3 linked regions of the Ovis aries genome follow. The protein of the gene in region 1 interacts with the protein of each later gene in a biochemical or structural test. Links are inferred from orthologs where the notes say so. Each region holds a gene or a part of one and is shown in the gene's direction. Other genes may lie near its edges.

The links.
Region 2: the proteins of SNTB2 (region 1) and DGKZ form a complex in vitro, tested with the Homo sapiens proteins (2 studies listed by BioGRID and IntAct, with this or other methods). The link is inferred for Ovis aries from reciprocal best matches to the Homo sapiens genes SNTB2 and DGKZ.
Region 3: the proteins of SNTB2 (region 1) and PTPRN form a complex in vitro, tested with the Homo sapiens proteins (2 studies listed by BioGRID and IntAct). The link is inferred for Ovis aries from reciprocal best matches to the Homo sapiens genes SNTB2 and PTPRN.

Annotation. Positions count from the first base shown.
Region 1 is NC_056067.1:35,945,380-35,949,419, forward strand, and holds the start of SNTB2 (beta-2-syntrophin), read left to right. Parts: upstream 1-1,240; 5' UTR 1,241-1,243; coding exon 1,244-1,823; intron 1,824-4,040. UniProt on the Homo sapiens protein: Adapter protein that binds to and probably organizes the subcellular localization of a variety of membrane proteins. May link various receptors to the actin cytoskeleton and the dystrophin glycoprotein complex.
Region 2 is NC_056068.1:75,295,872-75,299,371, forward strand, and holds part of DGKZ (diacylglycerol kinase zeta), read left to right. Parts: intron 1-181; coding exon 182-277; intron 278-549; coding exon 550-627; intron 628-1,808; coding exon 1,809-1,865; intron 1,866-1,985; coding exon 1,986-2,054; intron 2,055-2,792; coding exon 2,793-2,864; intron 2,865-2,971; coding exon 2,972-3,088; intron 3,089-3,194; coding exon 3,195-3,266; intron 3,267-3,500. UniProt on the Homo sapiens protein: Diacylglycerol kinase that converts diacylglycerol/DAG into phosphatidic acid/phosphatidate/PA and regulates the respective levels of these two bioactive lipids.
Region 3 is NC_056055.1:221,238,996-221,242,495, reverse strand, and holds part of PTPRN (receptor-type tyrosine-protein phosphatase-like N), read left to right. Parts: intron 1-414; coding exon 415-581; intron 582-3,500. UniProt on the Homo sapiens protein: Plays a role in vesicle-mediated secretory processes. Required for normal accumulation of secretory vesicles in hippocampus, pituitary and pancreatic islets.

The DNA of each region.
Region 1 (4,040 bases):
TTTGTTTGTTTTTTTTAAAAAAAAAGCACTGGACCAGGAGGGTGGGAGACGTGAGTTGTCTTTCTTCACTGTGAGCTTTGGGCCAGAATCTTTGACTTTCTGGGTCTCAGTTTCCTCAGCTCTTCTTTTATTGTGTAATTTTAAGGTGAGATAGCTGATTTATTCTCCCCATTCTACTAAAGCAGTGTCTTTTTTTCCTTTGAGTATAATTGCTTTACAATGTGTTACTTTCTGCTCTTCAAGCCCATGAAACTGTAAGAAGCCAGTGGATTGTATCACCTGTATCTTTGGATAAAAACCGCTGCAGGCCCTACATTGTGCAGTGTTTCTGGGGAGGCCCATGTGCACTTGCCCTAACATAAGGCCATGGCCTCCAGGGTGAGAAAGTCAGATCTACAAATTCAAGTCCAAACACTTCCAAATATGTGGTTATATTCGGCGTTTTACACTCGTATACTGTCGTTGCCACTGACCCTATCCTCTCTTGACATTGGATTCTGGCATCTCCCTAAGTAACCATCATTTTACGGATATCTTTGAGACCTACCTATCGTGACTGCGGGGCTAAAGATATTTTTCCTCTGACATTACTGGCAAGTAAACAGGGGATTACAAAGCAGAGTGACAAATGCTCTGACTTTTGAGTTTCATTGTCACCTCTATAAAGCTGACCCCAGACCCAACTAAATGTTCTCATCTGCTCACAGGGCATTTTGTACTTGACACTCACCACATACTATAACATCAGGTTAGCTGATTCTCTTTGTTTTCCTCCCCAACTAGACTCTCAGCTCTCAGCTGTGGTGCATTTTATTCATCTCATCTCCAGGCCTCAAAAAGGAGCACACTTGGCGGAGCGTTCTGTAAACCAATCAATGCAAAAGTGTACCTGCAACTGGGTCTTGCAGGCTTGCAAAGTGCCTCTCGAAGCTGATTTTACTCTCTGTGCCCAGGCAGCTCTGGCGAGTTGCACGGTAGAAGTCAGGAGCTGGGAGTGGGAAGATCGGAGGCGTACGAGGGAGAACGTGAGACAGCCCAAACCACGCGAGCTGCCCACGTCCGGTGAACTGTAACCCACTGGACCTCGGGCAACTCCTTAACCTCCCGGAAGCTGCTCGGCTGTCCTCTCCCCTCACCTCCGGAAGGTGGGCGTGGCCTCATGAATAATGAATCACCGCCGGGGGCGGGGCCGGACCCGCCCCCACGGGCGGGAAGGGGGAAGCGCCGAGGCTGCCTGACTGGAATGAGGGTAGCTGCGGCGACTGCGGCGGCGGGAGTGGGGCCGGCCATGGCGGTGTGGACGCGGGCCACCAAAGCGGGGCTGGTGGAGCTGCTCCTGAGGGAGCGCTGGGTCCGAGTGGTGGCCGAGCTGAGCGGGGAGAGCCTGAGCCTGACGGGCGACGCCGGGGCGGCTGAGTCTGAGCCCGCTCTCGGGCCCGCGGCGGCCGCCTTCAACGGCCTCCCGAACGGCGGTGGCGCCGGCGACTCGCTGCCCGGGAGCCCGAGCCGCGGCCTGGGGCCCCCGAGTCCACCCGCGCCGCCGCGGAGCCCTGCGGGCGAGGCGGGCGCGTCACCGCCGGTGCGCCGCGTCCGTGTGGTGAAGCAGGAGGCGGGCGGCCTGGGCATCAGCATCAAGGGCGGCCGCGAGAACCGGATGCCGATCCTCATCTCCAAGATCTTCCCGGGACTGGCGGCCGACCAGAGCCGGGCGCTGCGGCTGGGCGACGCCATCCTGTCGGTGAACGGCACCGACCTGCGCCAGGCCACCCACGACCAGGCCGTGCAGGCGCTGAAGCGCGCGGGCAAGGAGGTGCTGCTGGAGGGTGAGCCGGGCCGGCGGGCGGGCGGCGCTGGGCTGGGCTGGCCGGCGCTCACTTTGTTCTGCCACCCTGCCCCCTTTGCGGGGCCAGCCCCTTCCCTCCCACTCGGAGACCTCACCTTCCCCTCTGCTGGCGGCAGGCTTCCCCACAACCCCGTTGCTGGGGCTTTGGAGATGGAAAAACTGATGCTCCCTGCAGGAAAAGTTGGGCTGCCGCCGAAGTGTGGCTTGCAGTCCCCTAGGAAGGTTTTAGTTTGGAGCAGCCGTGCTTGAAGCCCCTCCTCTGCACGCTAAGCTGACACTAAGAACTAGAACAGGACTTCTGAAGGTCTCCGTTTGCCTCCTGAGTGGCGCTTTCTTCACTCACCTCTGGTTTCTTAGGCCAGGCAGGTCTGTTAAAAAAAAAAAAAAAAAAAATTTCATCCACACCGATGCCAGCGGTATGCTTGGGCAGACCACCAAAACGCTGGTTAATTTATGGGAATTTAACCCATCATTGGCTCTCAACAATAACCAAAGGAGATCATAGCACTTCATCGAAGCCAGAAAGCTGAAACAGCAAGTTTGTGTGGTTAATGAGCCTTGTTTAACAGTGGAGGCTCACGTGTTTGAACTTTTACTGTCAACTAGAATTTTGCCCCTTTTTGCAGGAGACGGGGTGCCAGCTTCCTACCATTCACAGGCTTCAAGGCTTTAAGCTTAAATTCAGAAGCCTGAAGTGTTAAATCTCAAGTCACGTTTGAATAGTCAAGATTATTCTTTTAAGTTTGAGTGTGATCTGTTACCTGAGTCTTTTATGGAACTAAGGCAAAATAAATTTTATCTTCTTGAAGGACTCATGCATGTTGGAGGTAATACTACTTCAGAAATTTTTGAGTGATCAGCCTTCTTTCACCCATTCAGTCATTTAAGAGGCATTTATTGCTGACAATACAGAAGAGAATATAAAAGATGATGTGTCTCTATTTGGTGTCTAGTTGGAAAAATGATAGAAAAATGCAAAACAACTTACAAATTATAGATTGTGGAGTGCAAACTATATGAATACCAAGGGAGTGCAAAGTTAGGAAGTAGTGGAAATCAGCTTGATCAGGGAGGAGTTTTTCAAGAAGCTGAGTCTTGAGCCAGGTCTCCAGGGAAGTGATGGACATAGGCAGGGATGAGTCAAGAGGGTATTCCTGGCAGAGGAAGAACAGAAGGGAAGGGGTGGGGAGTGGAGGTAGGAAGTGGCCAGTCATCAAACTGACTGAGAGGCCAGAAGTCTAGCTTGGCAAAGTGATTTTCACTTTTTCCTAAATCTGCTAGTAAACATTTGGGAAGGTGTTAGTTTCCAAGTAAATATTTTAATGTGCTCTAATTGTGAAATTCCAGTCTCCCACCTTATAATATCCTATTTATAAATATTTATATTTCACTTAGGTGGGGCTAGGCACTACTCAGAAATTAGTGTTAATAAAAGGAGTAAAATTATAAATTGTGGCGATGTGGGTTGTATGTGTGTAAAAAAAGAAAGAGTTGCCATAAATGTGTGTCTTGAAATTGTGCTAGCTAAGAATTTGGTTATAAATTCTTAGAGCCAGAATACTGACTGTAGTACTATTTATGTGGTGCTCAGTGGTGATGGGCAGATGTTTCAGCTCTTAACCCATATCTATATTTTTTAAATCTAGTTTTTGTTTAGATATAATTTGAACGTGGTATTCATACCACTTAAATAAAAATCATCTAGTAAACACTTCATAGTATTCATTAACCTAAAATAGGCCACATGTGCTTTTAGAAGGAGGCTTTACAAATGGCAGCATAATATTTAGTGAATGTTTGTTTACCTAACACAGGTTCTACCTTATTTTCCCATTTTCTAAAAGACAAGACATTTTTGTTCTTATATGTGTGGAGAGGTATGAAACTGAACTTTAAAAATCAAAGGATATAAAAATAAAATTGCTTATAATATGCAGAACCACTGCAAACAGTGATTTCATAGAATCAGTCAAATGTTTAAAATTGAGAACTAGTGACCCATCCAGGAAGGCTACTTTTAAAAGATAGATTTTTATGCTTAGAGTTTTAGAACTGAATGATCCTTCCATTTGATGTCTCAAAACTTGAAAAACTACCTTAACATAGCACAGTTTAACATAGCACAGTGATGCCCTTTTGTGGTGCGTGCAGGGAATTTTAGGCAACCTTTATCACCCCCAGGCAAAGCAAAGCTGTA
Region 2 (3,500 bases), on another chromosome or scaffold:
CCATGGACCTGTGGGGTCAGGGCAGATCTAGGGTGGCCACGTTCGGGCCAAGCCTTGAAGCCAACAGTGGTGAAAACAGGATGCAGCAAAGTAGATTGTGGGGGCTGGAGCAGGTTTGTCTTGGGAGAGGGGGAGGGGGGCAGAGCAGGCGTGCGCCGAGCGTGCTCGTCCCGTCCTCCAGGAGTCGGCGACCTATGGGGAACACATCTGGTTCGAGACCAACGTGTCCGGGGACTTCTGCTACGTCGGAGAGCAGTACTGCGTCGCCAAGATGCTGGTGAGTGAGCGCGGTGCGGCACGCCGCCCCCTGGTGGTGGAGCCGGATCTCGAGCCCTGTAGGCCTGCCCTCCCAGGGGAAGGTGGGAGCGAGGCTCTTGCCTGAGCCGCCCTGCAGGGGGCTGCCCCCTGACAGCCAGAGGGACAGGACTGGGTCCTGAAGCGAGGACAGGGCTCGGCAGTGCTCTCCCAGCGCAGCTGTGCTGGGGCAGGCGTGGGGCGGCACCCGGGCCCGGGTTACCCGATGCCTCAGGGACCTTCTGTTTCCCGCAGCAGAAATCAGTGTCCCGGAGAAAGTGTGCGGCCTGCAAGATTGTGGTCCACACGCCCTGCATCGAGCAGCTCGAGAAGGTGAGCGTGGCTGTTCAGGCTTTCCTGCCCCTCCCCCTTGGGGTGCTGAAGCCCTCACGGCACTCCTACACGGGTCTCTGTACACGCGTGTTCACGTCACACAGACACCACTGGCCAGGGGTGCCTCAGTGTGTGTAGTGGTGAAAAAGCCAAGGACCCAGGGGCTGCAGGGCCTGCATCTGCATCCCGGCTCCTCCTTCATTTGCTGCTGCGTCCCGCTGCCCAGAACAAGCCTGGCACAGAGCGAGGCTCATAAGACTGTTACTATACGAAGTCACAAATGCTGGCTGAGATGCCATTTTATCAGTTCCCAAACTAATAGTTAGAAGGCGCTGAGCCTTCGTACCTCAGCTCTGTCTGGGCCAGTCCTGTGTGGGCCCTGAAGCCCGGCTCTGTCCCCTCCACGGTGCGGCTGTAAAGACCTTTTCCCAGGGACCGTTGTCCACGGAGAGGCTGCAGCTAGGGGCGCGTCTGGGCCCGGCGCTTCTAGGGAGGGAGGGAGAAGGACAGCTGGGTGAGTGGGTCCAGGCCTATGGATTGGGAGGCTGCCGTGGCCCCGCAGGACTCCCCACCAGCAGAAGCCGAGGCCAGTGTAAGAGAAATCCTGTAGGACTAGGGATGGCTTGAACGAGGCTGACGCAGACGGCTTCCCCTCCTCTTCATCTCATACAGTGCAGTTTCCCTAGGGCTGAAGCAGGGGCCCTGAGGCAAAGAGAGTCGCCTGTAGCCCTAGGTCCTGTAGATCCGTCACACCAGCCCCTAAGGTGATAAACCAGGGCTCCACAAATGGGCTGACGGTCTCCAGGGACCAGTCCACAAGCATGGACTGGGTTACCTGCAGGTGCCTAAGTTGGGAGAGCTGGAGAGCGAGGAAGAGTACAGGATGGGTCAGCCTTGCTGCCATTTTAGCGGGGAAGACGGATACAGAACTTGCTGTCTCCCTCATCCCAGAAGACTGGGCAGCGGAAGGGAGCTTCCTTCTGGCTAGTGGAGAGGAGGAGGGATGCTGGAGGGCCTCTGAGAAGAGGTGTCTGGTGTTCTCAGGGCTCCCAGGATGCTGGGGGGCCTCTCCCTCCTTTGTGGGGATGCCTCCCCAGTGACACCTTCTGAAGGGGGTGGCCACGTGCCTGACCCCATGAAGGGCGGTTCTGACGTTTCGGTGGTCACTGCACGTTTCACAGATAAATTTCCGCTGTAAGCCATCCTTCCGTGAATCGGGCTCCAGGAACGTCCGTGAGGTAAGTGCCGGGGGTGGTCAGGGCCCCGGGTTTCCCGAGCGGGACCCTCGGCAGTGACTCCAGAGCGTTGCCGGGCTTCTGCCCATCGCTCAGCCCAGTGCCGCTCCTCTCCTCCGCCAGCCAACCTTCGTGCGGCACCACTGGGTACACCGGCGGCGCCAGGACGGCAAGTGTCGGCACTGCGGGAAGGTGAGGCTGCGCCTGAGCAAGCTGGCCCTGGTCCTGGCGGCCCCGCACGGCCACGTGTGGCCCGTCCGCCCCTGACCGCAGGCGGAGTCCTGGGCCCACTCTCTGGCTGCCACACCCACTCAATCCCAGAACCCCCAGGTCCCTGGGCAGAGCGGGAGAGCAGTGTGTCTGGACCGCTCAGAAGCTGTGAGCAACCCCTTCAAGAAGCATGGAGGCTTTTTCCCTCGCTAGCTCAGCCGATGCACGTTGAGGGCCTGCCGGGTGTGAGCACGGCCTACAGCAGCCCAGGTTTCACTGACCTGTCTTGTCCCCTCCACCCACCGCCCAGTAAGTTCAGGCTCTGAGAGATCTAGGGGCCTTGTCCCTCCTCCCTCCGTCCACCCTGAGTGTCCAGCACGTCCGGCACAGTAGGCCCTGTGATAAACCTGTGTAGGACAAATAGGGAATGACTGTGATGGTTACTGCACAGAGCTTTGAGAGCCTGGGTTGGGAAGGAGGGACTGGAGTTAGGCAGGAGTTATCTATGGACCCCTTTCCAGCAGATGGTGCAGTTAACTTCAGAGACTCAGCCTGGCTCAGCCCCCGTGACTCTAGGGACTCCTTTTATAGTTCTTTTCTTTAAAAAAAAAAAAAAGAGTGCTCAGTTGCCCTGGGTAGAGAGACGTTGGCGGCAGGAAGGGGCTGGGCCTGCTGCTCTGGGCCCAGCCCCGGGGACCCTCAGCACCCTCTGCCCCCTAGGGCTTCCAGCAGAAGTTCACCTTCCACAGCAAGGAGATCGTGGCCATCAGCTGCTCCTGGTGCAAGCAAGCAGTGAGTGCCACTCCCCTGCCGCTGGCTGTCCCGCAGGGCTGCGCGGGTGCGGGCTGCAGGTCTCGCGGGCCCAGCTCAGCCACGCCCCCGCCGCCCCGCCCCTGCAGTACCACAGCAAGGTGTCCTGCTTCATGCTGCAGCAGATCGAGGAGCCGTGCTCCCTGGGGGTCCACGCCGCCGTGGTCATCCCCCCTACCTGGATCCTCCGGGCCCGCAGGCCCCAGGTGAGCCCCACCTGCGCTAGGAAGCCCCAACCCCCGCGACCCCCAGGGTCTGCCGGCCACCCCAGCTCCAACCACCGTGTCACCCACACCTCCACTTCCCTCGCAGAACACCCTCAAAGCCAGCAAGAAGAAAAAGAGAGCATCCTTCAAGAGGAAGTCTAGCAAGAAAGGGCCTGAGGTTAGACTGGGGACCAGGCGGGCAGCCGGAGGGGAACAGGAGAGGGGGGCCTGTTTCTTGGGACACTGAGGCCCGCCCCCCTCGGAGCTCATGATGCGGCCATCGCTGGGTCAGTCTGGGCTCTGGGGCCCCCGAGCAGGGGGAGGGGTCAGGTCCTCCTCTGGGGCCAGGCCCACTGTGAGGTCTGACCCCGCGGTGATACTCACGGGGGCACCCGGGGCATGGAGGACAGGG
Region 3 (3,500 bases), on another chromosome or scaffold:
TTTTCTTTTTAAGCTTTAAAAATTGGTCCCGCTTGGGGTTAAAGAAAAAATCAAATGAAAATACAAAATTTTATCAAAGTTTATGGTGTGTGTGTAGCACAGACACTGTGCTAGTCTTTGCGCAAAAAGAGGAAGGAGAAACTGATTCCAGGAAACACACAGGACTTCCCGGAGGGCCCAATGGTTAAGAATCCGAGCTGCCACTGCAGGGGGCACGGGTTCGATCCCTAGTCGGGGAGCTAGGCTCCCGCTGTGTCTAGATGGAGAAGCCGCCAGTTGTCCTGAGCAATCCATAAGTGACACAGATGGCTAGGGTTCCTGGGGACAGTTGAGTGAGCTTCTTGACTGTCCTGGGAGGCCGGGAGGATTTGGAGAGGCCCTGCCGCGCTCAGGCCTGCGCCCCCACTCTCGCAGGTGAACCTGGTGTCGGAGCACATCTGGTGCGAGGATTTCCTAGTGCGGAGCTTCTACCTGAAGAACGTGCAGACCCAGGAGACGCGCACGCTCACGCAGTTCCACTTCCTCAGCTGGCCGGCAGAGGGCACCCCGGCCTCCACCCGGCCCCTCCTGGACTTCCGCAGGTAAGCGGGCACCCCTGGGCGGTGGGGCGGCCCGAAGAAGGCTCCCAGAAGCCCGGGAGAGAGCAGCCCAGGAGCAAGGGGGCCGGGAGCCGGGCTCTGGAGCCTCCCCGCAGCCCATCAGCTCCTCCTGGGGCCCCTGGTCAGGAGAGGCAGGCCCTCTCGCCCGACCTGGAGCCTCAGCTTCTGGTCCGCTGGTGCCCCCTTCTAGACACCCCCAAACCAGGACTGACTCTGACCTCCCGGCATCCCCTTCTGGACACCACCCCCCAAACCAGGACTGACGCCCTGTCTCGCTGTGCCCATCCGTCCACTGCTGTGGTCCAGCTCCTGACTGCTTGCTCTCTCTGCTGTCTGGCTGCCTCTTCCCTCTCTCTTGGCCTCTTTTTCTATCTCCCACTCTTCCTCCATAACCTTCTTCTCCCTCCGCCCCCCTATACCCTGAAAGGCTCATCTTGTTTGTAGCCGCCTCCCTCTCTCCTCTCTTCCTCCTTGGTCCTTGCTGTCTATTTCCTCCTGTCCTGTTTCCTGGTGCCCAGTCTCTATGTCTGCTGTCCCCTTGCTTTCTCTCACTAACCCTTGCCTTCCCTCTTCTTTACCCTCTGTGTCTCTTTGCCTCTATTTTTATTTCTTTCCCTCTTTCCCTCCCTTCCTTCCCACTTTTCTCGCCTCCACCCTCCCTCTCCCCCTCAGCTCTCTCCCATGGTTCTCACTCCCCCACTCCATCGACAGTTCCCCCCTCTGCACCCCTCCCTGTTCGGTCTCTCAGCTGTTTCCTCCACCTCCCTCCCATCTCTGCCTATTTACTCTGCCTCTCTTTGTCTCTCTCCCCGCTCCTCTCTCTCTTTCTCTACATGTCTCTGTCTCTCCGTTGCTGTCTGTCTCCCCTCTCTGTCTCCTCCCTCTTCTCTCTCTCTCACGGCTGCCAGCGTCATTTTTGTGATCTGCAGCTAGTATTCTCACTCCAGTTGCATAGTCACAAAAGTGATCACTGGCAGGTGTGGCCGCTGCATGGATGGGACATGAGGACGTGTGGCCCAGGGACCACCCTGAAGGGCGCTGGGAGAGCTGGGGCTGGGGAGATTCAGGGAAGGGACAAATGCTATCAAAGGGAGTGGGGGGGATCTCTGGACTCTTGGGGACTCATGGAACCAGGTGGGGGCTGGGACAGGAAACCAACAGGGGGACTTGCCCTCTTCAGATGCTAAAACCATGTCCAGGCCTCCAGAGTCCCCTGCCTTCCCTCCACAGATTGGTGGCTGAGAAGTCTGCTGCCATGGCAGGGACCTCACCCACACTGCAGCTTCCTTCTGCTTCTCTGCCCCTTGCCAGGCCAGTCTGAGGTCTCTAGGTGCTGGGCAGAAAGCAGAGGAACAGAACTGGGGTGGGAACCTGGGGGTAGTTTCTGACCCTCAGGACAATGGTTTCTAACTGGGGTCCATGCAACCTGAGGTACCGGCTTCTTGAAGGTGCCATCAGGGGTATCAGGGGTATTTTTTGTTTTCCATATTTAAAAATCTTTATAAAATGAGTGCATGGACCTATTTTAAGACTGCACAGGTAAGCGAAAAGGTTATGTTTCTTTGCTTCAGGCTGGAATTATGTAAACTCAATTGGCTTAGACACCCAGAACAAATTAGTTGCTGCTTAATAAATACTGTTTTGGTGAAGGTCCATCAGAGGGAAGGCAAAATAAATTTTGAAGTCTTAGAAAATAACTCTGATCAAGTTCCTTGACCTCCATCTGTTTTCTTACCTGTGAAATGAGATTGATGACCCATACCTTAAGGGATTGTTACAAAAGTCAATAGCATGAAATCTATAAAATCTACTTTAAGTGCCAGGTACATAGCAAAAGTAAAAGTGAAAGTCGCTCAGTCATATCCGACTCTTTGTGACCCCCTGGACTATACAGTCCATGGGATTCTCCAGGCCAGAATACTGGAATGGGTAGCCTTTCCCTTCTACAAGGAATCTTCCCAACTCAGGGATAGACTCCAGGTCTCCTGCATTGCAGGTGGATTCTTTACCAGCTGAGCTACCAAGGAAGCCCCAGCACATAGCAAAGGCTCTGTTAATTCTAAGTACTATTTGTTGTCATTATTATTAACTGATTGGGAGCCACCGTGACAACTTCTGTTCAACCCCAGCCCTGATCTACCAGCCGATACGCTAAGGGATCATGTGGACTTCTAGAAAACCATTCAAAGTCTCCTGGCCCCAGTAAGTCTGGGGGTACCAGACTGGGGAACCACTAAGTTCTAAGCTCCTCTGAAATGCTCTAATAACCCTTCAAAAGGTTCTCCCTCGCCCTTGTCCTTTGGGAGTATCAGGAGTCTGCAAGTGACTCTCAAATCAGGAATGTGATAAGGGACAAGGGCAGGTTAGACTGGGCCACGAGACAGGGAGAACCCACCCGCTCCTTGCTGAGCTGTGGTCCAAGAAGCAGAGTCTGAGGTCCAGGTGGACCCACAGTCTGACTATGACCCAATCACAGAGCACCTGTGCTTACCTGCTGGGGTAAGACTTACCCAGGGAGACAGTGGACGGCAGCATATTCAGAGCTGAGGGGTTGTCATCCCCTCGCCAGAGGAACTCTACGCCCAGGGCTGCAACCAGACCTTACTGCTGGTGAGGACCACAGGAGCCCGGGTGGGGAGGGGAACACCCGGGGCAGAGCAATAGTGTGCTCTGACAGCCTTGAATTCACCAGAACACCTATCCTCCCTGAACTTCAGGCGGGGGAGACTGTTAATATTATGACATATTATCTTTAATAGTGCCATCATTTAATGAGCACCTGCTGTGTGCCAGATTTATCACTTAGTCCTTTATATGGATTATCTCATAATCCATGTAATAAGAACGCTAAGAAGGAGGTTACTATTACTATCATCCCCGTTTTACAGGTAAGAAAACTGA